2 linked regions of the Tribolium castaneum genome follow. The protein of the gene in region 1 interacts with the protein of each later gene in a pairwise test. Links are inferred from orthologs where the notes say so. Each region holds a gene or a part of one and is shown in the gene's direction. Other genes may lie near its edges. The genes, in order: unk and heca.

Region 1 (16,574 bases):
TAATCTTTTTTGAAAAAAATAGATAATTTAAAGAGCTTTCCAACGATAATACACTTCATGGGGTTATCTCTAATAGTTCCGGAGCTATTGCTCGAGAAATGTTCCGGGTACCCGAAATCGACCAAAAACGCTACAAAAATTGGAAAAATCAAACATCAAAAAATCGAACATTTGGACTTTTTGTGGACTTTTAACAACTTTTGTGGGTTGTTAAGACATGTAGAAGTCCATAAAAATTTGCTGAAGTTAGTTTAAAAAAAATTTTTTTTTACCTCTTTGAAGGTGAGTCTTGTATTAGTCAGGAAATTTGAGCAAAAAAATTGAAAATTTTAAATTGCGTGAAAAATTAGTATAATAGAGAAAAAAAGTCGCTGAATCCAATGGAATACTGCACTGCTCTACGACTTTTAGTTTTCGAGTTATGAATTTTTTTAATGAATAAAATTTTTCACTATGACAAATGGCTACCCTAAATTTAGGCAAAAAATTTTAAATTTTTAATTCTTGTGAAAAATTGATATAATATGTAAAATGAGCCGTAGAATTCAATCGAACAAACCGCAATGCTCTACGACTTTTAGTTTTTTTTTTATGAATTTTTTTAGTGAAAAACTTTGATCGCCTCTGTAGCCGGAACCGTTGCCCGGAGCGGCTCCGGGTTTGGTCGAAAAAATAGATAAAATTAAGCGCTATGAGATGGTTTTTTGTTCGTTGCTCTAAGTCTTACAGTTTCCGAGAAAAACGCAAAAAAAGGTTTCCATTTTCACTTTTTTTCAATTTTCAATCGCCAATTACGGCGAAACTATTAAAGATATCGAGAAACGGAAAAATGGAGGATAACCGGAATAAAAAACTCTACAAAATGGCATAGGACTTAAGGCGATATCTCGCAAAAAAAATTTCAATTTTCAAACGCCGATTACGGCCAAACTAAAAGAGCTAGAAGAAAACGGTTTGTTCGATCGTAAAGAGCACATCAAAATCTATAAGATAGGATAGGTTTCATTTCATTTTGAGACACTTTAAAAATTGACCGATTTTAAGGGGGGGGTGTTAACTTTTTTTTAATTTTTTTTATTTTCTCATTTATGGCTAAACTATTCTAAAAAGTGGAACTGTTTTGATCCATACCTATGCAAAATGATCCGGGGAATCGATTGGCATCGAGAAAATTGCCAAATTCCCAATAGTTTTTTAGTTATGAATTTTTTAAAATTTTACCAATTTTTGCATTTAGCAGCAATTTGCTCGAAAACTATTAGTCGGAGAACAATAATCTTTTTTGAAAAAAATAGATAATTTAAAGAGCTTTCCAACGATAATACACTTCATGGGGTTATCTCTAATAGTTCCGGAGCTATTGCTCGAGAAATGTTCCGGGTACCCGAAATCGACCAAAAACGCTACAAAAATTGGAAAAATCAAACATCAAAAAATCGAAGCAGTTGACTTTTATCGCAGTCTAAGAACTGGACGGGGTTCTAAAGGCACAGAAAATACCATAAAACTTTGCCTAGAGCGAATTTAAAAAAAAAAATTTTTAATTTTTTGACCACTGACTAGGTTAAATAATACGCAAAATGAACCGTTTTATTCCTCTTTGCTCTGTCTTGTTGTAATTTCTCCGATTTAAATGTGCTGTTATTCTGTAAAGCTTGCACAAGGATAAGTTCGGAAAGCCAAAACGTCTAAACCTGCAACAACTTGAATCAATTAGGCGCCAGGGGTATGTTATTGTGCTGTAATAATATGTGCATCGTCTCTCTCTCTACTTCTGCCAGTAATTTTTATTTGACTTATTACTGTCTTGTGACGATTTGCAGCTTTGATTTTCGCTATGTTTGTTTTAATTTATTCGTCGGCCGACAATCTAACAATGAAGCGTTACTTGGACTCGATTTTCTGTTTTTTGATTTTTAGCTTATTATGTAATGCAGTTGTTCAAACAATTGTAGAGTTTATGTGTGATTTGAAAAAATAATCTGTGCAAGTTTTACGTCATTCATCCATCTTCACACTTAAACAAAACCAACCAAAAACAATGTTTAAAATCCTTGCAGCGAGTTTGAAGTAGAGTCTTTGAATTTTCCCGGCCAACAACACCGCTGGAAACTGTCCCAGCTCCTGCAGAAAGGCACCGAGAAAAGCCGCGATTCCCTCCTCAATGATCTCGCGCTAGCGCTGCGATTTATTTTTATAACGGCGAAAGGACGCCTCGTCTCGCATTTCTTCAGCGTTTCGGAAGCGATCAAGGCTCTCTTGGCCGGACTTTTGCGCATTATCGACCTCGTCTTCGGCATTCCAAGTTTGCAAGCTCACAATTTAGATGCCAAAATTAGGGAGGAGAGGACCAAGTATCTAGTCGCCGAACTGGTGTGCCGGGTAAATCCGCATTTATATTTCTCCTGAATTTCATTGGCTGTTCCAGCCCGAAAATGAGGAATCTCTGGAACACCTGTGTTCCTACATCCGTAAGCAGCTGCGTCGGGCCGCCACCGAAAAATTCGAAGTGACAAAGGAGTGTTCGCAGCCGCCTGTCGCTGTTCCCTACCGATTTTTGACTCCCTCGGGATCTGAGCTGGACTTGAGGCTCTGGGAGAGGAGTCTGATGAGGCGTGCCTTGCCCACGTTGGTTGCTATTTTGGAAAGGGAGACGCGAGGCTGGTTTTTACATTTTAGAGAAAGACTGATTGCTGAGTTGCGAGCTCAAAAAATGCCCGATGAAGATATAGAAAGGGTATTTTTTTATTGTTCAAAGTGCGTAATAAAACGGTAAATTTTTGATTTCAGGAAGTGAACGATGCTGTTATGAAGGAATATTTGCAGAGGGTTTATAACAGCATTTTGTCGCATCCCGATATTTTAAGTTTAGGCGAAGGGATTGCTCAACTTTTAGTACAACAGGCCCAAAGCGTTGTTTTAATGCACAGGTGGGTTTTTTGGCTTATTTTTGAAAATTTAAAATTAAAAAAATGTTTTTTTTTGAGTTTTGACCCAATTTTTTAGCTCGGTTTATTTGGCAAAAAATTCAAAAACGTGTTTAACGTTTAAAAAAAGTAGGAATAACGCCTTTTTCGACCAAATTTTGGCATTTTCCAGCTCATTCTTGACGAAATTTTGCATATTTTAAATGAACTAATGACTGAAAAAAAATCAAATTACTATAAATTTCGATCATATTTGGTGATTTTTCAGCCAATTTTGACGATTTTTTTTGAGAGAAAAAACTTAAGGAAGGCTTTAACCACTCGAAAAAAATTACAGTTGATTTCGTTTATTTTTCGGTTTGGTTTGAAGAATTAACATTTCTGTTTCAGGCTGAAAAACGTTAACTCGCAAAAAAACGCAAAATGATAGATTTTTGATTTGATTTTAATTTTTGATTCCATTTTATTTAATTGTTTATTTAATTAAACATGATTTTCGACCAAAAGTTGTGTTTTTTCGACTTATCTTTAGGCAATTTCACGAAAATAACACCAATTTTCATTTATTTTGTAATTTTTATGTAAGTGCAGACAAATTCTTACAAAATAAACCAATTTAGACCTAAAAAAAAGATAAGATAACATCAATTTCGACCAAATTCGGTGTTTCTTTTATCTACATTCTGGTAAATTTTTCAAAAATAAATAGTTTTCACTTCGACAAGACCCAAAAAAGGCTAAATTTACACCTATTTTGCTATAATTGGCTGCCTTTTCGGTCTGTTTTTAACTAAATTTTGCGAAATAATTGTATATCTGGTTGAAAAACGTGTTCAAAAAAGCAAAAATAAGACTATTTTGGTGTTAAATTCGTGAAAATTTTGAGACATAATTCACGTATCAACGCGTTTGCAAAAGAATTTTTTGAATATCTTGAAAACTAAAAGGTATTTCGAAAAAAAAATACTTGGAAAATGATCAAATTTTTAAAGTATTTGATGATGTACTAGATAATTTTTTCGTAAGATACATAGTTTAGGCACAAAACGCTTGGTTCCATACTTTTGCCTGTGTATAATAACTTCAAACACGTGTTACTTATTTCTTGAAAATTATAAAAATAACACATTTTTCGCTCAAATTTTACAGTTTTTCCGGTTTTTCGGCTTATTGTTAAAAAAATTTCGCTCAGAAAAGAGCTAAATCGAGTGAAACAAATCAAATAATAAAGCTTTGACATGAACTTGCAAAATAAAGTTCAAGATTTTTCAGCCAATGTTAGCGAAATTTATCGAAAAAGTTTAGTTTTGGCTTCGAAAAATATGCTTAAACTCTTTAAAAAACAAAATTAATACCATAATAATAATTAAACAACTAAAAAATGTGTTGAAAACACTAGAAAAACAAGAATTATGTTGTGTTAGACTTAAGTTTGTGCTTTTTCGATATTCACTAGGAAAACCCCGTAAAACAACAAGAAATTTCTTGTTAAAAAACGAGGCAAACGGTGCGACATAAGCTAAATTAAATAAATTCCGATTCAGCTTTATGTATTCATAAGAAATTTTTGGGAAATAAATAGGTTTATTTACTGTTTTTTGACTGGAATTAAGGACTAAAGTAGCGAAATTTCTTTTTGTGTTATGGGCTATTTTATTTATTCGTCATTTTGGTCTTCAATTCCAATCAAAAAAACAAATAAAAAGTTATGGACGAAATTATATAAATAATTATTAATTAGGTTTCTAGCTGGAAAATGTGCTAAGACTCGAAAAAAAAAACAAGAATTATGAATTAATTTTTTCGGCCTTTAACACAATTGTACGAATTTTTTGTTCAAAACCAAGTCTAATTTTATTGTCTCGTATTTTTTCCTCGCACAATTGTCTATTTTGTACCAGGGCCGTCGAGAACGTTCAACACCGTCTTTCAAAATCTCAGGAAGAAATCAAAACCCGCCTCTGCACCAGCCACCCTGTCCTCTCCCGCATCGAGCCTTGGCTGCGTTCGCGCCTCCGTTCCGCCGAACTGAAATTCAGTCAAGAGAACCAATGGAGCGCCCACGAGGAAGCCCTCACTTTATGCAACGCGAAACGCCTCCACCAGACGGTTTACTTCCTCAACCGTGACCTCGCATTCATGAGAGAAGTCAGTTAACAACCCCACCCAAAACCACCCTAAACTCTCATTTCCAGAGAGAACCTGCCCTTTTACGCGAACTGCGCAAAGTCAAAACCCCGACACGTTCGTTCCTCTGGCCGACCCAAATCTGGCTCCCGACCAATTGGATTGTGCGAAGAAACTTCCAAGGCCAATCAGAAGTCGTCCCGACTGTCCTCAGCAAACAAGCGACTAGCATCACGACGCCTAGGTCCGACCCCAGCCAACCCGTCTTCCTGGTGGAGAAGGAGATCGTCCGGACGACCACCACCAGGTGGCCGCTCTGGCGCATTTTCAATTACTTCCACCGGACGTGGTGTTGGACTTGGAACGCGATGTTTTTCTTCGGGATCGTGTTGCCGTGGTGTAGTCCTGTGGGACTCCGGGCGCTTTTCAGTCTCGAGCCCTTTATGCCCGACCTGGAGCTGTCCCAAGTCAATGGGACGCTCTTCCCGCGTAAAAGCAGTCTCACGGAGACGTTGTGCTCGCGTCTGATTAGCCTCTGGAGGCACATTTCCAAGTCCAGGACGCACTTTGAGACTAAACCTGATACGGGGTTCATTGGGAAAGGCTTCACGCGGCATTTGAACCGAATTTGGAACTATTTTTTCAAGGGATTGTTCGGGACGATTGTCCTAGTTGTGATTTTTCCCGTGGTGTGTGTCGCTGTGATCGCAGCGAGTGTTTTTATTGCCTTGACGGCGGTGGTGTGGATGCCTGTTTTTACATTGGCGGTGCAAATAATCAATGCGTTGATTTATGATCTGGACTGTCCGGAACAGAAGAGGAACCGATTTTTCGTACTGTTGGAAGCACTGGTTTGGAAGATTGGGCTTCAAGGGTGCGTGCAACCGATTGTTGCACTTTTTGTGGCCGCGGTTGTGTGCCCCATTATTGCGTTGGTGATTTTGACAGGTGATTGCTTTCACGCATTAACTGATAACGCGAAATTCAGACACGAAACGAGATGTTTTTTAAATAACGGTGAAGAAAAACAATAAAAAAATACAGGAGATAAAGAATTAAATTCTCAATATGAGTAAGAAGATAAAAATCATGCAATTATTTTAGATACAAGAAAAATGTTGCAAAAAATATTGTAGATAATTAAATTTCCTACATTGCGTAAGTTTTCATTTTTATATTGGTTGTATTTAAATAACAGTTAACACAAAAAATAAAAAGAGGTAAAAGTAATAATGCAAAAATTATGACGTAAACTATACTATAAAAAATTGAAATTTTTACTTTTAAAAAATTTAATTGTAATTTATGTATTCTTGTATTCTTGAATATACAATGTATTCAAAAATGGTTGTTTATCAAGTCACCTATGAAATTTGAACGTGTGTCGCTTGATTTAAATCGTGCCGTCACAAACTTAGGTAACATTTACCTAAGCTGTTGGCACTTATCTGTCATAGTTTTTGACATATGTCAATTTTTTGTTAGAATTTTTATTTGCATGGGTTTATTTAAAATATCTCAGCCCCCTTTACGATAAATGAATAATATGTTTAGAGTTCTAAAAAGTGTCAACTGTCAAAACTTAAGGCTACTATGATTTTTTCAAAATGTCATCAAAAAGGGATTATTCATTTTCAAAATAATTTTTCTGAACTCAAAATCGTCGATACGGATCGTAATTTTACAGCTGTAGCTATATTACAAGTAAAAAGTTTCTTAAAGGACTAAAAGATTCTAAATAAAATAAGTCAGGTCAGGTCAGGCTAAATAAAATTAAAAAAAAATTATTAAACTCAAAAAATACACAAATAAATCTGTAGTATATTAACGTGTTTAAGACAGACATTTGCTATTTTTTTTTCAATTCATTTAAATATTCTTTAATTCAAAATAATGTTATCTTTTGGTTTACGTTTACGTTTTAAATTCTGTTACACTTTTACGTTTATGTTCTTTTTCTTATATTTCTCGATAATCACTTACGCTTACAATTAGGGCCTTTATGTACTCACCTTTTACTACTACTTTCTTATTTCTGCCGGTTTTTAACCGTATCTGTCTTTACGTTTACGTCTATTTTGTGTAATTTCTTATTTACGTTTTCATCATGTTATACTTGTTTCTACTTTTTTTTATTGAAAAATTGTCAGACCTGATCCGGGCTTGAACCCCCGACTTCCCGCGTCGAAAGTGGCGCTTTTACCACTGGACCACCAGGCCCTAGCTACTGACCGTCTTTTACAGATATTTTAACATAATTTTTTTACTTAAATCAAAATTATTACAAACTATAAATGCTTCAATTTGCCTAAAACGCATATATTTTGCACAAATCAGTTCAAAAATCGTCAAATTCGGTCGAAAAAAAACATTTTGTACACTTTTTTTCAATTTGATACTCAGTTTTTCACAAAATTTCATCAAAAATCGCCAAATTAAGGTGCAGAAGGCAGTGTTTTAGAATTTTCCAAACGTGTAAGTTGACTTTTCAGTTCGAAAATATCAAATTTGGAGAAATTCTAAATCAAAAAACCTCAATTTCGACATTGTTTTTACCCTTTTTGTGACTTTCTACACACTTTTAGATCAGAAAATGAAAATTATTGCCGAATTTCATCTTAAATCTCCCAAAAATCACCAAATTTATAAAAAAAAAAAAATAGCCAAACTATCGTCAAAAATATTTTTGGGTACAATTTTGCATCTCGTTTCGTCTCCTAGTACATAGTTCTCCGTGCGCTCATTACGAAACCGTTTTGCGTGTCGTAATATAAAGCTTGCAATTTTTTCCCCAAGGTGGCATTGCTCGCTACTGGCTGCGCCTCTTCTGGGACACGACCCTCTTCCACTTAATAATCAAAAAACGTGGCCGTATCCCAGCCAGTGACAGTTTCGTTGTGAAACGCATCGCAGGACCGGGCCTAGCCTCCGACTACTACTTCCAAATCAGTCCAGAGCAGGCCCTTGCCGCTTTCGAGGCCAAAATGGAATGGGACGAACTGTCCGCATACCAAACCGTCGTCGAAAACACAATCACACAACCACAGCGTGACTTTAGCCACTTTATCGAAGCGTGTTTCGGTGGCTTTTCGGCACAGTTGGCCAAAAACGGCCCTTATAAAAATCTCGAAAAGGAAGCCCAAGACCTGATGACGGTCCTGCACGAGAAACTCGAACGGAGACGACGTGACTTACAAACCGGTCTCAGTGTCACCGTTAAAAGTAAAATTAAATTGGAGACGTCCGAATTGAAAATTGCTATTCAACAAGGGGCGCTGATGCTTGAGAGGTTTTATCCAACGCATATTTTACCGAAATTGGGGTGCAGTGAGGACCAGTTTTGGGATAATCGGGCTTTGAGTCCCGGGGATTGGGCGGGATTGGCTGGTTTGTTGTATTCGGAACTTTTCAGTTTGGATATTTTAACGCCGTTGGATCATACGGATACGAGTTTTCGGCTGGATCCGCATCCGCAAGCTGATTTGTCTAGGTATACGGAGATGGTGCAGTGTGCACAGTTGGGGGCTCGGGGGCCCGATCTGTTGGGGAATGTTTACACGCCAAGGGGGAATATTCAAGTGCATTCCCCCTATTTGGAAGTGTCGGCGTTTAATCCCAGATCTAAGCTCGCCACGACGGTGAAAAAGTGCGAGAAGAAGACGTAAGTTTAATCAAGACAAGAGGTACAGCAGAACCTCTATCCGTGTTTTTTTTTTAATTTTTCTTTAGTCATGATTAAATGAATCGAATAATTTTCTCATAATATGCAAAAAAACCGACAAATGTAGTAGTTTTAACAATCTCAGAAATTAGAAAAACCTATGAAGTGAAATGTTTTTCTTCTAATGTGGATTTTTTGCTTATTTTTAGTCTTTTGTTGTGGTTATTAAAGGAAAGATTATTGTAAGGTCATGTAAAATACGCGTACTTGCAAAATTTATTGTTAATTATTTATAAATTATTAATTAAAACAGATATTGTCGTATTGTCACAGAGATTACGTATGTATGCAAAATTTCAGTTCGTTCGGATAACAGGAACCCTCTCAAAATCAGACAACAAAGTTAGCTTTTTAAAAACAATTTTGTAAATTTCCGTAAGGAATTCTCTTGCAAAGGTGCAACTTTTCAATTTTAATTTTTTTCCACACTAAAATAAATATCAAAAATTTGAAATTTTTGAGTTTTCTGTCAAATTTGTGGTTTTGGAGTTAGGTGAAGTTATGCCGTTAAATAAATGAAGTAACTGTCTCAAATCTCTTTGATGGTTTATTTATCACGGTAAATGTATATTTTTATATTATATTATATTTATATATTTATTTTATATATATATATATATATATATATATATATATATATATATATATATATATATATATATAATATATATATTTATATTATATTATATTTTTATAGTATATTTTTAAATATCATACGGTGCGTTCAAAAAATCTTTAGATCAGCTCTTGCTGTGGAATTTAGATTGACTGTCTTTGATAGATTGTCCATTTATTCTGTTGAAGTGTCAAACGCGATCACAGCAAGAGTTGATCTAAAGACTTTTAGAATGCACTGTATAACATAAATAATTTACGAAGTAAAAAATTTGTTGAAAAATTAAAACTTTTCTATAAAATTCGTTTCTATAAAAACTAACAACAAAAAATTGGGAATCTGCTTTAACAGAAAAAAAAACGACAACAATGAAGCATCAAATAAATTATGTCATAGATAAAGATTGCATATAAATTAGATAAGCAATAAAAACACACTTAACCAAAAAAAAATTTCAATTGTATTTTTTTCGTATTCGATTCAAAGTTAAACTAATAATCATTTCATTTATCGGGCTTGGTTTTCCCCATGATAATGAGATTCTGCTGTGACGTTTTTTATTATTTGTACAAAAAATTAATTGGGGGTTTCAGGGAGTCGTTGACGATGTTGGGTTCGATCAAGAGTGGCACAGTTTGGACGCCTTGGAAGAAGCACTCACGGCCGTTTTCGCCCGATAAAATGGTCATTCCTTTGCCCGTTCCGCACCCCGCACACATTGCCGTTACGATTTTTAACCGCGATTCAGACGATCCCATTCCCTTGGAATCCGACATTTGTCAGAGTATTTTACGCGGTATTGAAGAGAGTCACATTTCGCTTGAGGAGTCATCCGGTGGTATAAATAGGTATAAAGGCGGGGGCGACTCGTTTGAGACAAGCTCGAGTTCGGAAACGCTCGACAGCCCCCATAACGGTCTCCAATCGAACCGCAATTCCAGCGACGGTGTCTACCAGTGGACGTTAAACAACTGGGGTCAGCGCAAACGTAATAATTCAGGTAGTGTTAAGGTCGACTTGGCCAGTCCCGAGGACGTTACTTTAGACAGTGACAGTACTCGGGTGGTTTTCAGTACGTACGGTACGACCGTTTGAGTCATTTCCTTGTGATTTTCCAATTTGATTGGTTAATTTTTAAGTTTCCGTGTGATATTTTAGTTACGATAACAAGCATCACTGTGGCATTTTTCATATCAATAATAATCGAGTGTAGTACAAGGGCGTAAAAGTATAATGGTTTCGTTGAGAATTATGAATAAATGCAGGAATTTAAATCTAGGATAAGGGCAAATATTTAGCTAGTAATGCACGTAGTTATTAAATTTTTTATTTGAGAAATTGTCCATTGCACTAGAATTTGTATAGTCGGATCGATTTAGAGGCAAATTAGGGGTTCGAAACAACAGCATAGCAATAATTTGCTGATAATTAAATGTTTTCGTTGAGTTACTACATACTTGTCCATATTTCACAAATGGTAGCTTATGACGTTCAAACGAATTTTCCACTTAGCATTAGAGCGGACCGTTTTAACTACTCGACATTGTTTTTTATTACTATTGTTTGACCTTTTATTTATCGTGTACCTGTCAATTACACAAATACTCTCTGTACTCGATATTATTTTCGTGACGTTTTTCTATGTGTATAAATTTGTATTTTTTTCCATGTCTAATTGTACAATTTTTATTGCTTGTTGCTTGTGTTAATTGTATTATATTTATAAAGCTGACATTTTGCTACGTTTTGTGTTTACTCAGAAATATAAAGCTTTAAGACTGGACTGGCCCCATTTTTTTATCCCTTTCAACCCAACCACAAAACCAAGAAAAAAAATAAAAAGAGGTTTCCAACGATAAGCTTCTCAAACCGTTCCAGAGTTATTGTACGATAAATGTTCAGGAAATCGGCCAAAATTTCGGCAAAAATCGGAAAAATCTGATGTTTTTTTGCACTTTTAACAACTCGAGAGAGTTCTAAAGAGAGAAAAGTCCATAAAACCTCCCTACAGTCAGTTTGCAAAAAAAAATGATTTTTTTTGAAAGCACACTTGACCATGCATTTTTTTACATAAAAGTCTTTAGAAATAAATTAATGTTTCTTTACAAAAACTGTTCAAATGTTTAGAATTTCCAAAGAAAAAGAAGTTATGATGTGCAATTACCTGAGGTTAAGTGTGATTGCCGCTTCAAAAGTTCGCCACTTTAAACGACCAAAAAAACTAACACTAACCGAAAATCATTCACAAAACGATTAACAACACTTCAGCATTAAAGCAAAATAGTTCGAATTCGAAGACAACCACGAAAAATTAGGACGCGCACGACCCCGCCAAACGTGCCAGAACTACCAACGTAAAAACCACGCAACATCCCTACATTTCAGGGCACCCTTGACCATGCATTTTTTTTTAATAAAAGTTTTTACGAGTAAATGAATGGTACGCACTTAAAAGAAATACCACATAACTATCAATTTTCCTTTACAAAAACTGTTTAACTGTTTACACTTTCCAAAGAAAAAGAAATTATCATGTGCAATTACCTGAGGTTAAGTGTGATTGTCACCACTTCAAACGACCATAAAACTAACACTAACCGAAAATCATTCACAAAACGATTAACAACACTTCGAAAACGGCATTAAAGCAAAATAGTTCGAATTCGAACACAACCACGAAAAATTAGGACGCGCACGACGGCGCCAAACGTGCCAGAACTACCAACGTAAAAAACCACGCAACATGCCTAAATTTCAGTGCACCCTTGACATGCATTTTTTTTAATAAAAGTCTTTACGAGTAAATTAATGGTACGCACTTACAAGTAATACCACATAACTGTCAACTTTCCTTTACAAAAACTGTTCAAGTGTTTAATCTTTTCTAAGAAAAAGAAATTATGCTGTGCAATTACCTAAGGTTAAGTGTGATTGTCGCCAGTTCAAACGACCATAAAACTAACACTCACCGGAAAATCATTCACAAAACGATTAACAACACTGCGATAACGGCATTAAAGCAAAATAATTCGAATTTGAACACAACCACGAAAAATTAGGACGCGCATGACGCCAACGAAGGTGCCAAAACTACCAACGTAAAAAACACGCAACAAACATCCCCAAATTTTAATGTTTTTGGGGCATTTAAACAAATAAATAATTGCTTATAATTGCAAGTTTTAATGAAAAAAGCACGGCAAAGGTACAGATTAGAGTATTGACACAGTTTAAGCCACAATTAAGAGTAGAGGAAATTAATTAATTAAATGCACAATTTAATGACCAAAAATAAACTCAATGCTTGTTGAGATAGGCCTTTATCCCCAGTTATTAACCTTCACAACTCAACCGTGACCGGCAATAGTGAAGCAATAAATAAAATTCGTCAATTACGCACCAAAAGCACGTCTTGTCCCAGTTTCGCGGGGGCGTGCCCCTCCCACCTGCCACATGCACCTCACCCCAAAGAAACCCATCAAACCCCCATAAAGCACCCAACAGGCATGGTTCCTCCCAAAATCAGGTGCTTTCCAAATTGACCAAAACACAAATGTCCTTGAAGATGGTAAAATTGGTGGGCACGTGACCGCAAGCGGGCGCCGCCATTGGCCCGTTATGAGCGTGCCCTGCGCGAAACCACCGCGCATCTTAGTGATTACAAAATGCCGTCAGAGTCTAAACCTTTGTTGACAGCTCAGACGGAAAAGCCAAATCATTACTCGTAAGTGTATTTATAGTGGCGTGTGTGCCGTCGCGACGCCTCCGCCGACGCCCCACGCCCCCTTTTCCCGCATTTCCGCCGCCCAACCGCCGCCTTTTTCCAGGTATTTGAAGGAGTTCCGAGTCGAGCAATGCCCGCTCTTCTTGCAACACAAATGCACGCAGCATCGTCCATTCACCTGTTTTCACTGGCATTTCATGAACCAGCGGCGTAGACGGCCCGTGCGGCGCCGGGACGGCACCTTCAACTACTCCGCTGACAACTACTGCACTAAATACGACGAAACAACGGGCATTTGCCCCGATGGCGACGAGTGAGTACACCTTTTTTGGTTAGCTGTCACACGTTGTGGGTGTGACAGGAGCGCGCTTGATCAAAACAACAACAAACGTTCCAGGTGCCCCTTTCTGCACCGGACGGCCGGGGACACCGAACGCCGCTACCATTTGCGCTACTACAAGACGTGCATGTGCGTGCACGACACCGACTCCCGGGGCTATTGCGTAAAAAATGGGCTGCATTGCGCGTTCGCGCACGGGAGCCACGACCACAGGCCCCCAGTTTACGATATTAAGGAGATCCAGGCGCTGGAGGCGGCCGAGGCCGAGGGCAGCGGCTCGGCCAATGGCCCCAATGCGCTGGACAAGGAGCGGAACTTGATGAATGAGGATCCCAAGTGGCAAGGTAATTGACTAGGACAACAAGTTTGTTTGTGGGGTTCGGGATTATGGCGAGAGCGGTTGCCAAATGTGCGATTGCATCATTTTGTTGTGTTGGCGCAAGGAATTGTGTTTACGGGAATTGGGGCAATTTAGTGAAGGTAATAACTAGAGATAAAAATTATCTCGAGAGATATTTATACGTGAACTTTATTATGTTGTTTGCCGATTGAAAGGTCAGATTGCTTTCAATTGTATTCAAAGCGGTGCGAGATTGTGGATTAAAAATGCATTTTTTATTGTTATTATGCACAGAAAGTTGCGTGACTCATTTTGGCGCCAAACGATGAATTATTTATTCCGTTTCCATAGTTTATTGCTTTTTTTTAACTAAATTAATTTAAGAATTCTAATATTTTTTGACTTGTAAATAAAATAAAAGTTTATTGGTTTTTCGAATATTTAAATTTAAAAAAATTCAAACTAGTTCCAGACATTTAAAAAAATTCAAACGATTTTTTTGCCGATAAAAATGCATTTTTTTTATTTATGAACAGAAAGTAGTGCTTGAGTAACTAATTTTGGGAGAAAAAAATATTTTTTATTTCATTATACAGGGTGAGTCTGCTGAAAGGTATGTTTTTTACGACTTTGTTTCAAAACTAGAAAAAATAGCCCTAGCAAGCGCATTTTCATTGTTTGGGGTCAAATAGGTCGCAGATTAACATCTTTTGTGTTAAATTGAATTCTAGTAACAAATTTAGTGCCAAAACCAATTGTGAAAAGTGACAGATGTTTCTATTGTTTTGAAATAGACATTATAATAAAACGAATAATCACATTAAAAACAACGTTTGGCTTCAGATACTTTATATTTTTCTCAATACGGGTGATTTTTTTCAGAATTTTTCTACAATTCCTAATAACAAATAAATATTAATTAAAAAAATAACATAAAAAATATTGAAAAAAGTGACCTTTGTTTGCAGATTTTTTGCACAAAACTACAATTAAGCATAGAATGTTCTAAAAATGACATAAGAAATATTAAGATTCGGTAGTGACTTTATTAATTAATTAATTTTAAGGAATTGTAGAAATATTCTTAAAAAAATCACATGTTTAGAGAAATATAACATGGGTATTTTGTATTTTATTTTATTTATTGTTTATGATATTAATATTTAGATTATCGAAACCTTTCATTAAATGCTAGAATTATTATCTCCTAAAAATGTGTACAACTAATTCCAATTCCAAAAAAATTCTTTCAAAACTCCAATAAATCCAACTTAATTCCCGTTAAATTTCCTTAATTCCAAAATATGGTAGTCGTTTCCAAAAATAATCTCGGATAATTTCGAAAATAATTCTAGCAATTCCAGAAAGATTGCAGTAATTCCATAGATTCCAATTATTTTAATAATTCTGATTGAATTTCTAAAATTTCGATTCCACAATTTTTTATGGAAATTAAAGTAATTCCTATAATTTGTGGATTAATTCAAATAATTACAAATTATTTTCTGTAACTTAAGAAAAATTTAGGTAATCCTATGAATTCCAAGCCTTGAAATTAAATAAATTGACAGCACTGAAGAGAATCCTATATTTCGGAATTCTTAATCTGCAATATAATGTGTTGGTTTTTTTTATTTAATTCTTGTTATAAGGCACAAGAAAATTAAATCGCACCTCAATAATTATGTAATAATATCAATAAACAGGTAATTGCCTTTAACAAAAAATATCTCCTGTCTTAATTACCGGTTTGTCGGATGGATTTTTACAAAAACTCAACGTGTAACTGATAATAAAGAAGAAAAACAAAGGGAATGGTTAACAATAATCGTGAAAAGATTTTATTTAGTTTGTTTCCAAAACCTATCCAATATAAAATCGCCTCTCTGCTATTAATAAACGTTGTAATAGTGGTCGCTGTTGTGTTTATGTGTTTGAAAAAATGTTATCTACTATTATTTCGAATGCGGTTACAATGTCAAGGTTAACGTTAATTAATTGAGCTCTAATCTTACACTACAATTCCAATAAAAATCGTTTGTACAAGTCGGTTTTTTTTCTTCTAGATACAAATTACGTACTATCAAATTACAAAACGGAACCTTGTAAAAGGCCCCCACGTTTATGTAGACAAGGATACGCCTGTCCCCAATATCACAATAGCAAAGACAAGCGAAGAAGTCCTCGGAAATTTAAATATCGGTAAGTGGCAAACAATTCACCAAAGAAAAAAAAATTAAACGCATCCTCAGATCAACACCATGCCCTAATGTAAAACATGGAGAGGAATGGGGCGAGCCTGGAAATTGTGACTCTGGCGATTTATGTTCCTACTGTCACACACGAACCGAACAACAGTTTCATCCAGAAATTTACAAAAGCACCAAATGTAATGATGTACAACAGTCGGGGTATTGCCCACGGGGGGTGTTTTGCGCATTTGCTCACGTTGAACGTAAGTGGGGATTTTATTTTTTTAAATTTTGGTAATGTTGCATTGTAGAGGAAATGGGGGTTTCGAGGGACACGGGGGAAAGTGGTACAAATTTTGCCGAGATATTATCAAATGCTCTTCCGCCTAGTTTAGATAAGAAAGAAAAAAGCAGCGATAGCTCCGTAAGTCGTCTCGTTTGATTTTTTGCAAAACTAATTTGTTTTTGTAGAATGGTAGCAGCGAAGTTAGCGAGTCAGCATCGACGTCATCATTAGGTTCAAATAGTTCGCATAGTAAAGCTCCCGGTTCACAATTAGCCCACAAGTCGCTACCTTTTAACCGGTC
Region 2 (16,125 bases), on another chromosome or scaffold:
TTTACAAAATCGAACACCAGGATCACGTACATTTTCCGAATAATTTTGTGCAGGTAGCGTCTATTTCTGTCGGGTGGTGCAGTCTTGCACACGTGTCGTTCAGTGCGACCCAAATTTACCATTGCACCATCAGCGGTCCAAATAATAACAAAACTTTTCAGTGTTGCAACTTGTCGAGAGAAATGTCATCAATCATCCGAGACCGCTTCAAAATTTCAAAATGATCGAGCCGCAAGAACTCACTACGGCGCCTACATAATTAATCTTGGGGTTTGACCCCAAATAAACGCTTCCATTAAAGACATTTGCTGCATCTACCTTTATCAAATATCAAGGATGTTCGTTATTAATGATCGACTTTCCGTATTGCGCAACAGCGTGATAAATGTCGCGTTTTTATCTTCGAGATCACCAATGTCCTCCTTGAAAATCCGAAAATCCGCAGCAAAGACCTCGTATATCACAGCTCTTTAAACTGCTGTTTGAACTGGAACCTAAACCGGGGCTGCTTAGGCCCATCAATCGAGCTTATGGAATCACCCTGAGGACATGTTTGTGTTACCCTTTCGAGGACTAAGATTTAGTGCAACTCGACACGAGCTTTAATCGCGTGTCCACGCAAGCGTTATTTCATTTCGCGATATTAAACTTGCGCCGGCTTTTTTATTAATTCCGAGGTAAAAAATGACGATGTTTGCTTATAACTCCGGGACGGAACAATGAGCGAGTCGTGGATTCCGTTATGATCGGCACAATCGAAATATTAAATCGTCGACGATTTCGATATAAACAAGATTTTCAATCCTCTTATTAAAGCTCATTGCTCGGGGCGAGGGTTTTATTTGAAAGCGTCGTGTGCATGAGTGTGACATGTTCATAATTGTTGGTCTGCTACTTGGACAATTTTCAAAGAGCGAAAAATGTTAACTTAATGAAAATAAAAATAAAATAGCTTTTATTCAACAAAATCAAGATTGAACGATTGAAAAAGCGTACATGTTGCATATGTTGGCCAAAAGTGTATCAGCGCGGGATCAAATGGCGTGTTTATACGTACATTGCAATCGACTGACTAGACGATAGTTATCTAAATTCAACTTTTAATTAAAAGTTTAACTCCTCTCTCTGGCAATCATCTTAATTCTCAGTAGTATTCTGTGCACGCGAAGGTCATTGAAGCTCCAGCAATTATACTGTTAACAGGAGAAATTTTGGACGATTTCCAAAGCAGAGATATAACTCCCGGTGTATTAAACTCGAGATGCATTCGAATTATAATTTTCGTTCGGGTCTCATTAAGTCGCCTAAGATCGCTGTAGTTTACGGCAGACTTTACGACCAGAAGCGCGGAGTTTAATTCATTAATTTTTCGCCTTTGGTACGTTAGTCGCGTGCAAGTCTCCGAAATTGACTTTTCAATAAAGAAATAACTTTGGAGATTTAAGAATGAGTTACGTATGGTAACAGTTTCGGCATAGATCAAAGGGAGGAACAACAACGATAAGGCATAAATAAAAGATGCAAAGCGAAAGCTGGCGTGCTCTCGAGACATTTATAGAACTCATCTTAGGTCGGATATTACAAAACGTGGAACTTTTCTTATTGAAAAGTCTCGAAATCTACTTCATAATTTTCGTCTGATGTTGAGTAAATACCACCTCGAGAAATATCGGGCGTTATCCAGGCCTCGCCGATAAGACAGGAATTGACTCCGGATATAGAAATACTGACAATCGGAAATTCCTACGTCTAGGTTGGCGAGTGGAGCGAGCGTCAGCGCCCGGATTAATTGAAAGATATGAAATGTAGGGAAATTCAGCGTTTGGTCACAGCCTGGAACGCGGATTTCCTCTACTTTTGCTCGAGTTGTAACTCACGAAAGGGGAATCATATTGAGACGTCGTAACTTTCGAGGATCAGACGGTCTTACTAGAATACAATCGGAGATTTATGTCGCTCTAGTTTAAACATAAATTGCGCTGTTTTGTCCGCGTTCTCCCAAAAGACTATGAAAACTAAATAGAAAGCCCGAGATTTGTGAAGCACATGAGGGCTTTTTATGCCGGTTATTTGGGGATGTTTTGGCGGAGTTGACTTGTAGACCCGACTTAATTGAGTGACGTGAGTCGATTGCAGCGTCAGACGACCTAATCGATTTAGGATCGTGGATTGCCAATTACCTGTGCTGTCACTCGAAACAGACAGCAACACAGAACAGGCTCCTCATTCTGACACCAGAGCCGACTGTTGCACTCAACCCTTCCTGCATGAGGTACACCACGAAATCCATTAACTCTGCGATGGCTCAACGTCCTCTCTCAAAGCAAATAATTTGAGCCAACTATAATTACAGCTTTTTGCCTTTCTTTGGCCACCCAAAATCCGATAAATTTTAATTAATTGGTGCTTCTTGCGGTTCCGATGGTCAGTAAAAGTTGGCGGATCTAAATTTAAAATTACCGACACAACAATGGAGGAAACAAACAAAATAAAGTGGAGTGGCCGCATAAAACTTAGACTCTCAGTTTTATGCGAATGTTTAACATTTCACCGGCAGTTTGGTCGAGAATTACTTTTTGAAACTGCCGCATAGAAAGGATATATTGAAATTCGGTCGTTCTAAGGCTTATGTCGTAAAGCATGGCGATATAAGCGTTCCTTCGATTCGACAGTGTAAACTTTCTCACACCAAAGCCACTTTTTACCCGATTAATTCCCATGCTGGGTGTTTCAACGTCGTAAAAGCAACACGGATGGGCGTAAATTGTCGTCGGCGACGAGAAGTGCTCTAGCTGTAAGGGCCAGGTGTAACGGAAATAAAACATCGCGACGACCATGAAAAATGCATTTCAGAAAGAACGCCTTTATAGACATGAGAAGAAACGGAGCTTCGCAGGGAGTACGAAATAAAATCCGATAATAAAGCTCGAGAGGATTGCGAGAGATGATCATGAAGTTTCACGATGATCTGTTCAGATGCTCGTTAAAAAGAAAAGATGATTAGTGCTACCAATTAATAACGAATCTTATGTAACTAAACAAACCAAGGAAGTCCATTAAGATCTGTATTTACATTTTCATTTGCTTTTCAATTTATAACTTTCCAAGCGTCATAATTAACTCTTCAAACGAATAATACCGCTTACACACACAAGCCTGAACAGCCGAGAAGCACGAAATTTACAGCGTATCTACAATTTATTTCCTTACACCACGGCAAAAACTAAACACGTATAGCTCTATTTACGGGCGTTGTAATCGTGCGGGAGCGAGATATTTGTAATTGTCTCATAAGGGTCGGAGTCGAATCGATGGAAAAAGTCCGGGCTGGGGCATTAAAAGCGAAGTTTTGTTGACATGAACCACTTCCATCAAGGAAACATACAACAGTCGTGTCGTCCAGACAGGACCAATGAAAGAAAAAGTGTTGAACAACAGGAAACCAGTGAACGGAAGAGTGATTGACAATAGCGAGTCTTTCTTCCACCCGCCACGATTTGTCATTTCCCATCAAATTGAATCGGGAAACAGTGCGACTTGAAATCAATAACAAAATTGAATTGATGAGCGACGCAAAAACAATCAATCGACCAATTAAGCAACTTTTTCCAAAGAGCACTCTGCCATTCATTACGAAACTTTGGGATATTAATTGGACGTCGATTTTATCAAGCGAATTCGTCGAATTTGCAAATCCCTCTTTAACTTTTTTCACTTAATAATTAATTTCAATCTGAAAGTTTTTCGACGGTGGCGGTTTGCTAATCTGCGTCGGGGTGTTTTCGCACGGAGCTTTCGCCGTGAAATTATTTCCGCGTTGAAAAACTACATCGTCAAAGCTCCCGTGAAATAAAATACATTATAACAAAAATAATTTTCCGTGTCGCTGATAACAAGAAGAGAAAATCCCAAAATCTAAAACGGAAAGATCTGATTTCGGCTTAATTTTGCGAGGTGGTGACTTGTGAACGACTGGATTAAACTAAGCCGCTTAAAAAAGATCGCACGGGAACGGCGCAAAGATCCACCCTTGCGACGCCTAAAGAGGGCCACGAAACAAAACAAATATTTTTTAAAACACAAAATGTACTCTTGTCTTCCAAAAACTTAATTGGCGCAGTCAGTAGGTGACACCTTTGTTGCAGTTCCGCAACTTAAAAAATAAATCTAGATTTCAATTACGCAAACACTTTTCGGGCAGGCGGTATTAGTTGGAAAAGTTTATATTTACATGTTCTTTCAACGGGCTTAAGAGCCACTAAAAGTGTTTGCATAAATAATTAATGTGGATTAAAAGATTTGGCCATAAATTTTCGCCTCCACAGTTTCAATAAGCGATTAATCCTCTTGTTAATATTAGATTTTGGCTTGTGTTGTGGCATCGTGTCGTTGGAAAAACATGTAGACGCATCCGATTTTGCATCGAGAATGACGCCAATGTTTCATAATAACAAATCGCGTAAAATTTGTCAGACGGCGGAAGGTCGTTCTATGACAACGTCGCTAACATTTAGAAGCGTGGCCCATGCATTGGTTGGTGCATAGAAGTAGGCGTCCAATGCATTTAAAATTAGATGTCCTTGTATTCGTTATTAGCATCCCGGTACAGTCGTTGTCCTATTGCAGGTCATGGCAGGTCACGGCGTTGCATGTGCTCAATGTATATAATTAATCACCTCGACGTCAATGCGACGTCCATATAACGTCGTCAGAAGAACAATGCATCCCTCATTCTCGAGCATAAACCACCGGTTAACGAACCTGCGACTACTAATCGCACGAAAAATCGCCCATTTGGGTCGAAGACTTTGATAAAAAAAAAGTCGCAATTATCAGTTTCCTGGATAGACGAGCATCCGTTTTCGGGCATTTTTCCGATAAAATATCACGTGTCGGACGACATTCCGGTGATCTCTGCGAAACCGGTATTCCAGAGGTAATAATAACGAAAAACGAGCTTGCAACTTTGCAATACATCGACTATTAATTTTCGCAACGGTCCATGTAATTCGGTGAGGACGGCGACGGTGATTTAGGAGCTGCCACTGGAACAACGTGGGTTCAAATCTCGCCGATATGGTGGCAGTGAAATATGGTGCGGCCAGGATAACAAGGAAAAATTCCTGATAAAATCCATCGAATCGCAGCGTAATTGTTAACAGTCGTGTTGCAAGAGGAAAGTCTGGCTTTTGACGGGAACACGCCTCTCTTTTGACTTGATGATGAGGTGAATAAGGAGCGCCCCGGAATCCCATACTGACGCACGTCCTTTTAGAGACGATTGATCGCTAAATAACAGATGTCTATCTGGAACAAACTGCACAGATTTCACTTGCCATATTCGTAGCGAGCTGTAAATTAAACTTGCAACTATAATTGCGACCACTGTTTCTGGATCGCGACTGCATCGACTCGATTCGTTTGATTTGTGCCAGGACAGTGACTTCCGTGACTAGATTTATTACACCTAGTATATATTTGATTCAACATACCTGATTTTTTTCATTCTGACCCGTGTACTATAATATATCTTCGTGGACAGTTTCAATTAAGCACCGTAAGACTTGCTTGCCATCGATTAACTAGATTAAAGCACGAAAGAATGCCACATTTTTGCAACAACTGACTTACTTACGGCTTCCAAGGGACGCCTGACTTAAGAACTTCATCTATAACCATGCGGAAATGTGAACGAAGCGCGTTGGATGAAATATTTATGTTCTATACTCGAGCTATTTAAATTTCCCTGCCACACACACCTCGACGAATATGTATTTGACACAAAAGACAACTTTCAAAATCTCAATTTTTTTTTAAACTCCAATCATCGTGTAAACTAAGAAGATTGTATTTTTAAACTTTTTTTTTTAATTATTAAAAAAATAATTGCTGTGCTGATCAGCGATCTCCAATGACTCACTATAATATTACATTGAACTTTTAACATATTACGTAATATAATTGGGGGGTATAATCGTAATCAACTTTTTTGGATCGATTTTCAACATATTACCTGTGGCAAAATGTCTAATATATAAATTGAGGCACGCGATACGAGCGAGCCCTCCGGTAAAATTAAGTTTAGCCAATAATTTTTTGCGCGTTTATATTGTTCGTCGGTTGATTATTATAGTATGTGGTTTCCTTATAATGCGGGTATACACCCTGTATAATTCGTCGATGATTTTGTCAGCTCGAGTATTAAATTTTTGGCTTTGTGGAAGTTCATCCGGCGAAAGCCACTAACCATAAATTTCGTTCGAATAACAATTCAGGGTGTCATCGTGCAAGAAGACAAACCGCTCCCTGTTTTTGACTGTCCGGCAGAAAGTTGCAAAAGTGCGGTTTATGGGACCGTGGAGCTCGTTATAAACTCGAAAACTCGCCGACCAACTTCATTACATTTGCACAGCAGGAGCCGAGATGACCATAATAGAAAAGCGAAATTGACTAAATAACAACGTGCGAGTGAAACGAAACTTCCTCATGTAGAAATATTTAATGGTTTTGAAAAGTCTCGTCACTCACGCGTTGACAAGTTAACCACCGATTTTTTCCATGACATAAACTCATCCGCAAATCCTCGAGCTTGCATATTCGGAAATGATTAAAGTATCAGAAGTTGATGCTCGAGCTGGGCGATTTTTTGTTTCCAATTTTTTGCATTGTCAGATTAACGTGTCCGCCGCTGCTGGTATTAGGTTCATGCAAGATGACTGCTGGAGATTGTCTTAAGAGGCGCTTCGCAAGGATCCACTTTACTTCGCGCTTGGATAAAATTGAAATATGACTCGAATTATTAAAGTTACATTACGCTTAAGCGCCGCTTCGCTTTATTATCTATCACAGAAACTATATCAGACACATATTTAGCTGTTAGTCTTATTAAAATCTTGTACAAGCAGGCCCCTCGCTTCCAGTTTGCGGAGAGCCCGAGGATCGCTGTTTGTCGAGTGTGGTTATTGCGTCCGGTCTCACCACCTTATTAAACCTCGTCCGGATATTATCCCTCAGCGTCCCCAATCGGAAAATGATCAAAGCCCTTATCTCCCCACGTGAACTGAAAACATCGTGTTTTCTTTTCCAGACGGAAGACGAGGGCAACCACGGAAACGATGACACTCGTTGCTTCATCTTGTCAACTCTTGCATCTCAGGGTCGCTCCAAAGTGCACTGTGTCCTCTGCGAAGAGACGATGCCAGTTTTCGATAGGTATCCTCTAGTCGATGGCACATTTTTCCTAAGTCCGCGCCAGCATGCCAAAGGCTGCATCGAAGTAAGTTACAGAGGTCAAAGCACGGCTATTATGTAATTCATTTTTTCTTTCTGTCTCCTGCAGGTGAAAGTAGAGGGACGCACCCAGTTCTTGACAGCAGTCTGCATGGCCTGCCTTGAAGGCGTAAACGGACGCGCGATTATCTGCAGGTTCTGCAACCAGAGATGGGACGGATCCTCTCTCGTTCTGGGTACCATGTACTCCTACGATATCTTCGCTGCCATGCCGTGCTGCACCGAGCGCATCAAGGTAACAAATCACAAGAAATCGAAAACATCTCAACAATTAAGCCGACCACAAATTATTGCCCGTCTTATCAGGAATTGTTTTTGTTAACATTTTGTTAACAATTCAATAAAAATTCGTTATCTGTATGTAACTTTGTCGCGACTTCTTTTATAAACATCAGAGGATCAATATCAACAATATTGGACCTATTTATCGATTTCTAGCGAAGTGTTGTTCTGCAGATTGTGCAGGAATTGAGGTGAGGTTGGTTTTGTTGCAGTGCAACGCGTGCTACAAGCCAGTGCTGCACCCCGCCCAGCGCCTGAACTTCTTCAGCGACTACAGCCACATAGTGCCGTGTCCGCATTGCCACACGTTCGACACGCACTTCGTCAAGCCTTTGGCGTACTGCTACGCCCGCCAGCCGCTGCGGTCGCTGCAGATGTGGCCATAGCCCGCGGCCCCCGCCTCGCTCGCGAAGGCGCCGCCGACGCCGCCGTCGCCGCCCCCAGACCTCATGGACCTGGATCTGGGGCTGCTGTGGCGCGAGCTGGCCGGCTTGCGTCTCGACGAGTTCTGCCGTCTGCAACTCACCAGAGCGCGGTAGACGGACTTAGATTTCTTTGTTATGTTGTTGCATTTTATGTCGCATTTATTTTTGGGGGGCGCTTTCCTTCTGGAAACGGCCCTCAGACATATTCGCGTGTAAAACCGTTATGTTATTAGTTTATTATTAATTATATGTTTGTTAGGTTTTAGTGAATTTATATTCAACTTAAGTCTTTTTATCAAAGGAATGACATTGTGATCATAGTTATCTTAATTTCTAGCTCGAATTCAGTTGACGCTAAAGCAGGTCTTGTTGAACTGACAGTGAGTGAAGTTTGAAAGCAATCCCGTTTGAGTTTTTTTTTGTCTAATTGATTTGAGTTTTGTTTTTTTTTTATTATTTTTTATTTGAAGTTTAGGTTAAAGTTATGTAGAGGCAACTGTGTTGGTTACGTTTACACGGATCGTAACGATCGCTTTATTACTTAATAACTGTAATACATAATACTATAGTAATAAAACTGATATAATTGCTGTGTCCCAATAATTAGTGATAGGTGTGAAAGGTGCGGGACCATGGAATGGGTCTCGCGTGCGTGTCCCGTTATCGTCGTTGTTGTTGTGATGGGTTCAGGGACAGTCGGTCTCCCTGCGAGTAGCACACTGCCACTTCATCCCGCTGCTGCACCCGTAGCCTTCCAGAAACGGACGTACAAAGAACTCAGCCGCTCAGATTATCCGCGAATACCTCTTTAGACTTGATGGTGATTATGATGAAGATGGCGGACCTAGGAAATTGCTTCAAGTACAAACCGTTCGTTACTTTTGCAAATTTTATATAAATGATAACAATATAATCGATTGTTGAGGGTAAAATAATTCCTATCTCCGTTTAGCCAAAGCTTAAGTCCAGCAGGTGGTGAATTTTTCTCCTACCAATTCTCACACTCATCCAATTATTCCTACTCTGGCTAAAACTTTCCAGTGGACAACCTCTTTACAAATATACAATTTTCGCCACTAACTGATCAAGCCTGTCCATGTTAGCTGACTGGGAGAGCCAGTACCAGAAAAATGCACTACCTCCTGGACTTTTATGTTGTTTTTTGAAAGTACTACACATCGACCGACTAGATATGTTGCGCGAGTGCGAGCGAGCTTCTGTAACGTATTGCGAGCGTAGCAGTAGTCCCTTAGCGTAGTGGTAACTGCATGCCCCCACTCTAAACCACCCCTAAACCGCTTCTTGTTATCGAGGCCTAACTCACGGTCTAACTTTTCTACGTGTAATAAGAATCCTTGAATGTTGTCGTTTTTTGGACAAAAACTGTACATAAACGTGTTCGAATTCGGAATCCATTAAGTTTTTCAAATTGGTATTATATGTCGATTAATCGTAAGTCTAGCTCGTAGTCGTTTTTTACAATAAAATACGAATTAATAAGTAGGTGTAGTCGTTGAAGAGGCGCGGGCACCCCCAGCTGGTGCGAGGACCAATCGGTGGCTGCCAGAGCTCGACCATTCGTCCTTTTTTCTCCTGATCAAGACGAGACATTAATAAGTCGGCGGCGGTCCGGCGTCCTCTCTGTCCGCGCGCGGCTCGGCTTCAAAACCACCATTTAGCGCCATTTCGTGTCGTGTAACTCCGACATAATTTCTTCCGACTGCCGTGAAACTGGGAAGCCTCCCGTTGGGGAGGACTACGGTTTCACGGTGGACGGAGCAGATTATGCAGATGTATAACAGTCGCGCCGAGCCGTGCGTTTCACTCCGATAAGGCTGTCCATGCACAATATTATTACACGAAGGCGCAATCAGGGTAAGGGTCGTACCGTAGAGCACCACTATATAGTGTATTTTTAGCGTAGCTTGGCTGCAAGTAGATAATGACATGTATCCGTGTGTGTTTCGCTTAGCTAGCTGTCTTTAATCCAAGAACCAGCAACCATGAGGGTATCATTCGGCGCTTTCCAACCACTCGTTGGTTGGAAAGCGCAATCCGCTAGTCGCGGTCCATTCTTTCATTAATTGGCGTACTAATAATTGTGATTTTGTACACAGAAATTTCATATTTTTGTGATGATATATTTTTATACGATCGGCTGTTTTCTAGACTTAAGTGGAACCGATACAAGTTATTTTTCGAGACGAGTTGGCATTAATGTTGTAACCGGTTCCGTGTGATCACGATCAATGATCGATTCGAAGTGATAAAAATTTGTATATAAAAAACGAAAATTCTTAAAAACACTAATTTTTTATACGTAAATTTTTGCATCTTGTAGCGAGGTAAGGTAGGTGTAGTTTCCATCTCTCATGGTTGCGTGGGCTCCCTTGCTTTTGCGTTCGGGGCCGCCCCATTTAGGCTGCCACTCCATCCCTGCATTTTCTTTTCGCAAACATTACACCTTTCTTTCGCCCACGCCGCACCACCGATAGAGAAGCAAATCGAAAAAATGTGCAGGCATTATGTCCAGGATCAATGTATTAAAAAATAAAGCAGCAAAAACTGATCAAATACCTCGCCTATAAAAATCTATCAAAATTAGGATTTCTGAATTTCCTTGAGCTGGTGCAGTTACAATTGAAACTTGGCGGGCATATTTCTCAATGTATCATCTCTTGGCCAACAAAAGTTGAAATCGCAGTGTCAATACATTCCGTAGATACGAGTTTGAGAAGTCTGTTTTAATTTTTTAGCCACCCTGTACAGCAGTTAGTGTATGTCGCGGTTTGCTGCGCTGCTCTCTATCTTGTGGTGTGGTCAGAATGCGCAAAGTCCGTTTCGTTGTTGTGTGTAGTTGATTTTTCACCGTACGAACTCCGGAGTGAAATTTGGAACATTCGGCCGAAAGATTGACCATTTTAGTTGAATAATCGCTCATAATCCTTAGGCAATATATCCCATTTAAACAAGTGTTTATAGTACTTTTAGTTTAACGTTTTATACAAAATGAATGTTAGTGCTAGTGAATTTCGTTGTCCGGTTTTTTGTCATAGTTGAATAAAGCGTCAGATCGTCGGAGTGTCGCTTTGGGGCGGTTTCTTTTCTCCTATTAAAGTACAAATTTGGTACACACAACATATTAACAAATGGTAACCATGTTTGGTGTCGTAGTTGTGTGAGGGCCGTCTTGCGAGGCGGCCGGTATAGAGTAGCCGCTAGGATGCTCCCTCGCTGTTTTCAATTACACATATTATTACTATTGGGAAGTGTTGCGCGTTGAGAAGGTAGTTTATGTATGTTTATAGCGTACTGTAGTAGGGGCCGGACGGGGTGGCAGAGGGCGAAGCGGGCGCTCTGCATTGCCGCCCCTTGTGCTAGATAGGGCCGGCACTACTTTAGCAGAGCGCGGCACCAGCCACTTGTTATCGAAGAGTTTCGACTCGAGACAGTTACAAATCAACCGGTGATTACTGAATGAGTACAAATGCTGCCGCCCCGACCCGTGCCGGTTTATTATCATTATTATTATTATTGATGATGTATTCTTCAGAGTTTAGCATGAGCAATATCAGCAGAGGTTTTATTAAGTAATTTTTTTACCGCCACGGCCGGATTTCGACTCGTCGAGGTCCGGCCTCGGGCATTTGGGAAAGGTTACGTTTTGCGGGCGGCGGGCGTGGCGTTCGCGGAGCGTTCCTGGATAGAGATAGCAACATGTGCCATACCTGAGGGGATTTCAATGCCAAAAATTGAACGCTGCGCCAACGCCAACGCCCGACCCCGTCTCAGCAAATTACACACAATAAAAATGAGTATGTATTTATTCACACTACTAGAGTACCTATGTCGCTGGAGAAGCATGCAATTTGTCAGGATCTTTCAGTATATTGTAAATTATCTATTTGTAACATTAGGCTAACAATAAATTGGTGCTTGGAAGGACGTTGTGAGGTCTGCGAGTGGCTTAAGCTTTAGAATGTACAAAAATTATTTATTTGACCCAAACGAAGTTTAGTTGAATTTCTAAAATTCGAACCCTTTTATTCGTGGGGCTCACGATGAACGTCCGAGCATAAGTCGAAATGTTTTTTATATGCGTGAAAAATTTGATATCAATATAATATATGACATAAAAATGATCGAGCTTTTGACGGCTTTTTATATGTAATACAATGGGATTACAAATTTTTAAAACGTAATAAATATAACCATTGTCTAAAACCGCCTCTCATTTCGCCACCCAACCCAAACGCTCCCGAAACTTGAACAAGTGCCGGATATCTTCGAGCAATTCGCTCTCACCACCAAAGCAACGACTGTCATTCCGAAATTTGCAAGTGTTAAACTTTGCCACCGCGCAACAACTTCCAGTGGCTTAAATCGGTGTGTGTTGTGATTAAGTTTGATGTATGAGCCGTCTCAAACTTATCTTCGTTCGTGATTACACCGTGAAGTTCGCCGAACCGGCGATAATGCGGTAAAGATACTATTTACTATGCCATTCATGTGCATCGTGGCCACTCTGCATACAGGACCTTCCTCGTTTGTCACCGCTGCTTGGTCGTCGAGTCACGAGATCACAATCCCTGGACGCTCCCTTCGGGATTCGCAAGATTGACAAAGGAGAGCATTGTCTTTCAGCAGCTTAGCGTGCTCGAATTTCTCGCCCCAAATCGGTTTTCGAAAACTGTAAACTGTTCTAGCTTAAGGCGAAGCTGTAGAACGTCTGCTGTGGTCAACTAATTAACTTGGCTATTCGGTTTCTTGACGCACAACTCGTGAAATTAATTTCATTCAGTCAGAATGGAACCAATCACGGATCCAGACGTGCACACCTTGTCCGGATTTATTGTGCGTATTGTGACTGCAACGCTCATAATTATCGAATGTTTAACAGAGCGTTTGTAATTCGATAAAGGGGGAACGTTCGTTATCGGAATTGCACACGCAGGATATTTGAAACTTGCAAATTTCATTCAGGGTGAACCGATAATTTCCACAGTCAAATTGCAATCGTGGAAACTGTCTCAGGAGTGGCGATAATTTCCAGACAAATTGTCTTGTTGTCAAACGGGACGGCATGTGACGTATTTTTGTTTAACATCTCCATAATTCTGATTTCATAATCCCGTCCCAAACTTGTTTAATATTCATTGCCTGTGGAATTCATCCGAATCACGTTCCGAATGCATTTACAGTTTGTCACTGCTTCAAATTTATCTCCCGATAAATAAATTACTTTAACTTCGACAAGTAAAAAGCAAATCTTGTTGCGATTACAGCGTCACATTAAATTGGCCAATCTTGATACTACTGTGTTTTGAATCGTTCCGGGATTATACAAAGTGTTGTTAAACCAAGTTTTCAAGACGATGCTTTTTTACGAAATCTCGTATGCGAACGGTATGTCCGTTGTGCTCGTTAGGATTCCCAATTTTGGTATGCAGGACGCAAGAGGGACGCCAATCTGTCAGGGAGCTCCCTGTCTTTGAATAACTTAACGGATTCTTATCGCCACCCCGAACAGAACGGTTTCTCCTGAAGTTATTTTTGAAAGCACCTAATATTCATTTAATTAAGAGCGGTTCAATATTACTTGTATGAAGTGGTTTTTTGATGCAGATTAACGCTCTAGACCGACAAGGAAATTCATTTTCAGTTCGCCATCAGCATCACTTTTTGTTAACAACACAATGTCGGCAACAATATCACAACCAAAAACTTTTGCATAATATTATCACAAATTAGAGACGTAATAATTCCTTTGTGCGCAGACTAATAAAATGAACAGCAAAAAATAAAAGAGGCGAACTCAAACGCGTGATGGAATAAAAGATAATTGTTTGTACCCCGCTTCGAGACTGAAATATACGAGTGTTCTGAGTTTATTTTTTCAGAAAAAATGTTTGTCAACAGTATTTTAACTCCCTTTTATATGACTTTCTCAGTTCTTTTCAAATAATAATAAAGTTCTGATACTTCGTGTTACGTAATCACCTCAACTATCTGAGACAAATACTAGAATTCTAGGTCAAGTAGTTGGCAGGTCCTAAAGCAGGAAGGAATGGTTGAAATGAATTTTTGTCGTTTCTATAAGTAGCCTCAATAATGTTAATTAGTGTAGATGCACTTAATAATTTCAATTCAGTTATTTTACCTAACGCAAACATTGTATGAACGAAGTTTTTTGTTTTTGCCAGATTCTTTGCTTTTCTCTGGATTCATCATTTAATTGAAGAGCCACTTTATGAAAGCTTTGATTTCGGTATTAATGGTCAAAAAGTTTTGAACAAACATTTTGCAAAAACATTAATCAAAGAGTTCGGTACAAAATAACAAGCAACAAGGATTAACACAAAAAATGAAGTAATTTTTTTCGGGACATTTGTTCGATTATTAACTTTCTAAAGTGAAAAAATTCAGTCCATTATTAAAACTGAATACCATTTTTTTAAACCACCTAAAGCGATTTTGCGTTTTTAATTTTTTCAGTTTAATTATTTTCCGGATTCGATTAATGCGCAATTCTCTTCAAGGATAATTTTTGAAGTGAATTGAGAGTAAACACGGAGGCAGAACAAATATCATGTACAAAGTGGAAATTTGATTGCACAGAATCCGGATCTAGTTAATCCGGTTTATTGTTAAACGTATCAAATAGTTTGGTAGCCATTGTTTAGTTGATTGTCCGTGTGAGGTTCCTTATTGCGGCTGGCCAATATAACAGGCAGTCCAGCATTCCCAAGTCCAAGTCTGCGGTCGGACAGGGTAAGCCCTAACGCCTGGCAAAGCTGCGGCGTCAGGCTAAATTACTAAACAATGCATAAGTTACTTTTGAATAATTCGATTTGGTTCACATGACATCAGCTCGCTGAAACGATCCTGAAACGGGTAACTTTGGCCAAAATTACGTGACTATCAGCTAGTTTTAATTAAATCGGTCTACAATTTCATTACACAACAATTCTGGTGGAGGCGCCGGGCCCAAAGTGTTTTTTCGCATTTTGACATGTATTTAATTAAACTTGGTTTACTGAAATATTTAAATTACGTCCGTATAATATTGTGAGATTTTTTACTGTTTTTCACTCCAGACGACGACTCACGTTTACGCTTAATATTTTAAAATTTCGAGCACTACATTATAAGTTAAATTAACTTCTCTACACGGTGTAGTCTGGCCGCGATGTAAAAATAAAATTCAATACTTCACGTCGTTGCATTGCTTCCTTTGAGCAAAAATGGATTCATAAAGTTGGTGAAATGTATACGGCGAACGCCACCTAAGGTTAACAAATATTTTGTATTCTGTACACAGACTCGTCAGACGGTTCTCATTTCTACGTGTTTTAATTAATTTTTGTCTGCATTGGTTCGTCTGGGTTTTAATCTCTGCTAGCGTTAACAATTCGAAATTTATGAATATTTGCGTTCGGATTAAACTTTACCGATGGAATAAAATGCGAGATGATTGCTGCCTCCGATTCATTGCGACAAGCGACGCTTTTTACAAGAACAACCGAAATTAAGTGGATCAACACATGACTAAATAACCAACAAACACTGCTAGCAAGCAGCCAAATAATATCTAAACTAACCACAAAGTTGCAGTCACTTTGAGCAGTTAATTAACAACTTAATTAATTTGCAAATTGAAGAAAACAACGTTTTGTACGTAAACTATACTGTATACAGTGTGATCCTAACTAATTATGATAATATAAAAATATAAAACTCGAATGTTTAACATGTTCGTAAATTATCCCGGCGCATCCACCATTTTTTGACTTACCTTTTTTAATGTTGATTGAAAGTAATTTCTATGTCGCTTTTTTAGGTTTAAATAATTACAACTAAAACTTCAATTCTAATTGTACTAGACGGAAGTTTAAATAATTTGTTGTTGTTATATGTTTTTATATGTGTTCAGTATTAATTTATTTAACTAAAGTAGACAACATGCGAACACTCTGTGGAGCACGTTTCACAATTTATAATTGTTTATTTTTCGGCTCATAAAGTATCTATTTATAAATCCTATTATTATGGCGAAATGCACATCGTAAATTTTACGGTTCATTACGTTTTGAATTTATTGTACGCGCATTGCAATTTATAAATTCCG

Evidence for each region.
Region 2: the proteins of unk (region 1) and heca interact in binary tests that used the Drosophila melanogaster proteins (3 or more experiments, as listed by UniProt). The link is inferred for Tribolium castaneum from reciprocal best matches to the Drosophila melanogaster genes unk and heca.

What each region holds. Positions count from the first base shown.
Region 1 is NC_087399.1:928,817-945,390, reverse strand, and holds the start of unk (RING finger protein unkempt), read left to right. Parts: upstream 1-12,708; 5' UTR 12,709-13,056; coding exon 13,057-13,115; intron 13,116-13,218; coding exon 13,219-13,428; intron 13,429-13,512; coding exon 13,513-13,799; intron 13,800-15,861; coding exon 15,862-15,997; intron 15,998-16,047; coding exon 16,048-16,250; intron 16,251-16,298; coding exon 16,299-16,411; intron 16,412-16,458; coding exon 16,459-16,574. Other genes in the region: uncharacterized protein LOC659874, read left to right, coding at 1,655-1,726, 2,061-2,382, 2,429-2,737, 2,791-2,930, 4,829-5,075, 5,123-6,002, 7,851-8,715, 9,985-10,486. UniProt on the Drosophila melanogaster protein: Essential for late larval/early pupal development.
Region 2 is NC_087397.1:4,549,215-4,565,339, reverse strand, and holds the end of heca (headcase protein), read left to right. Parts: intron 1-7,087; coding exon 7,088-7,276; intron 7,277-7,339; coding exon 7,340-7,525; intron 7,526-7,784; coding exon 7,785-7,958; 3' UTR 7,959-12,221; downstream 12,222-16,125. UniProt on the Drosophila melanogaster protein: Required for imaginal cell differentiation, may be involved in hormonal responsiveness during metamorphosis. Involved in an inhibitory signaling mechanism to determine the number of cells that will form unicellular sprouts in the trachea.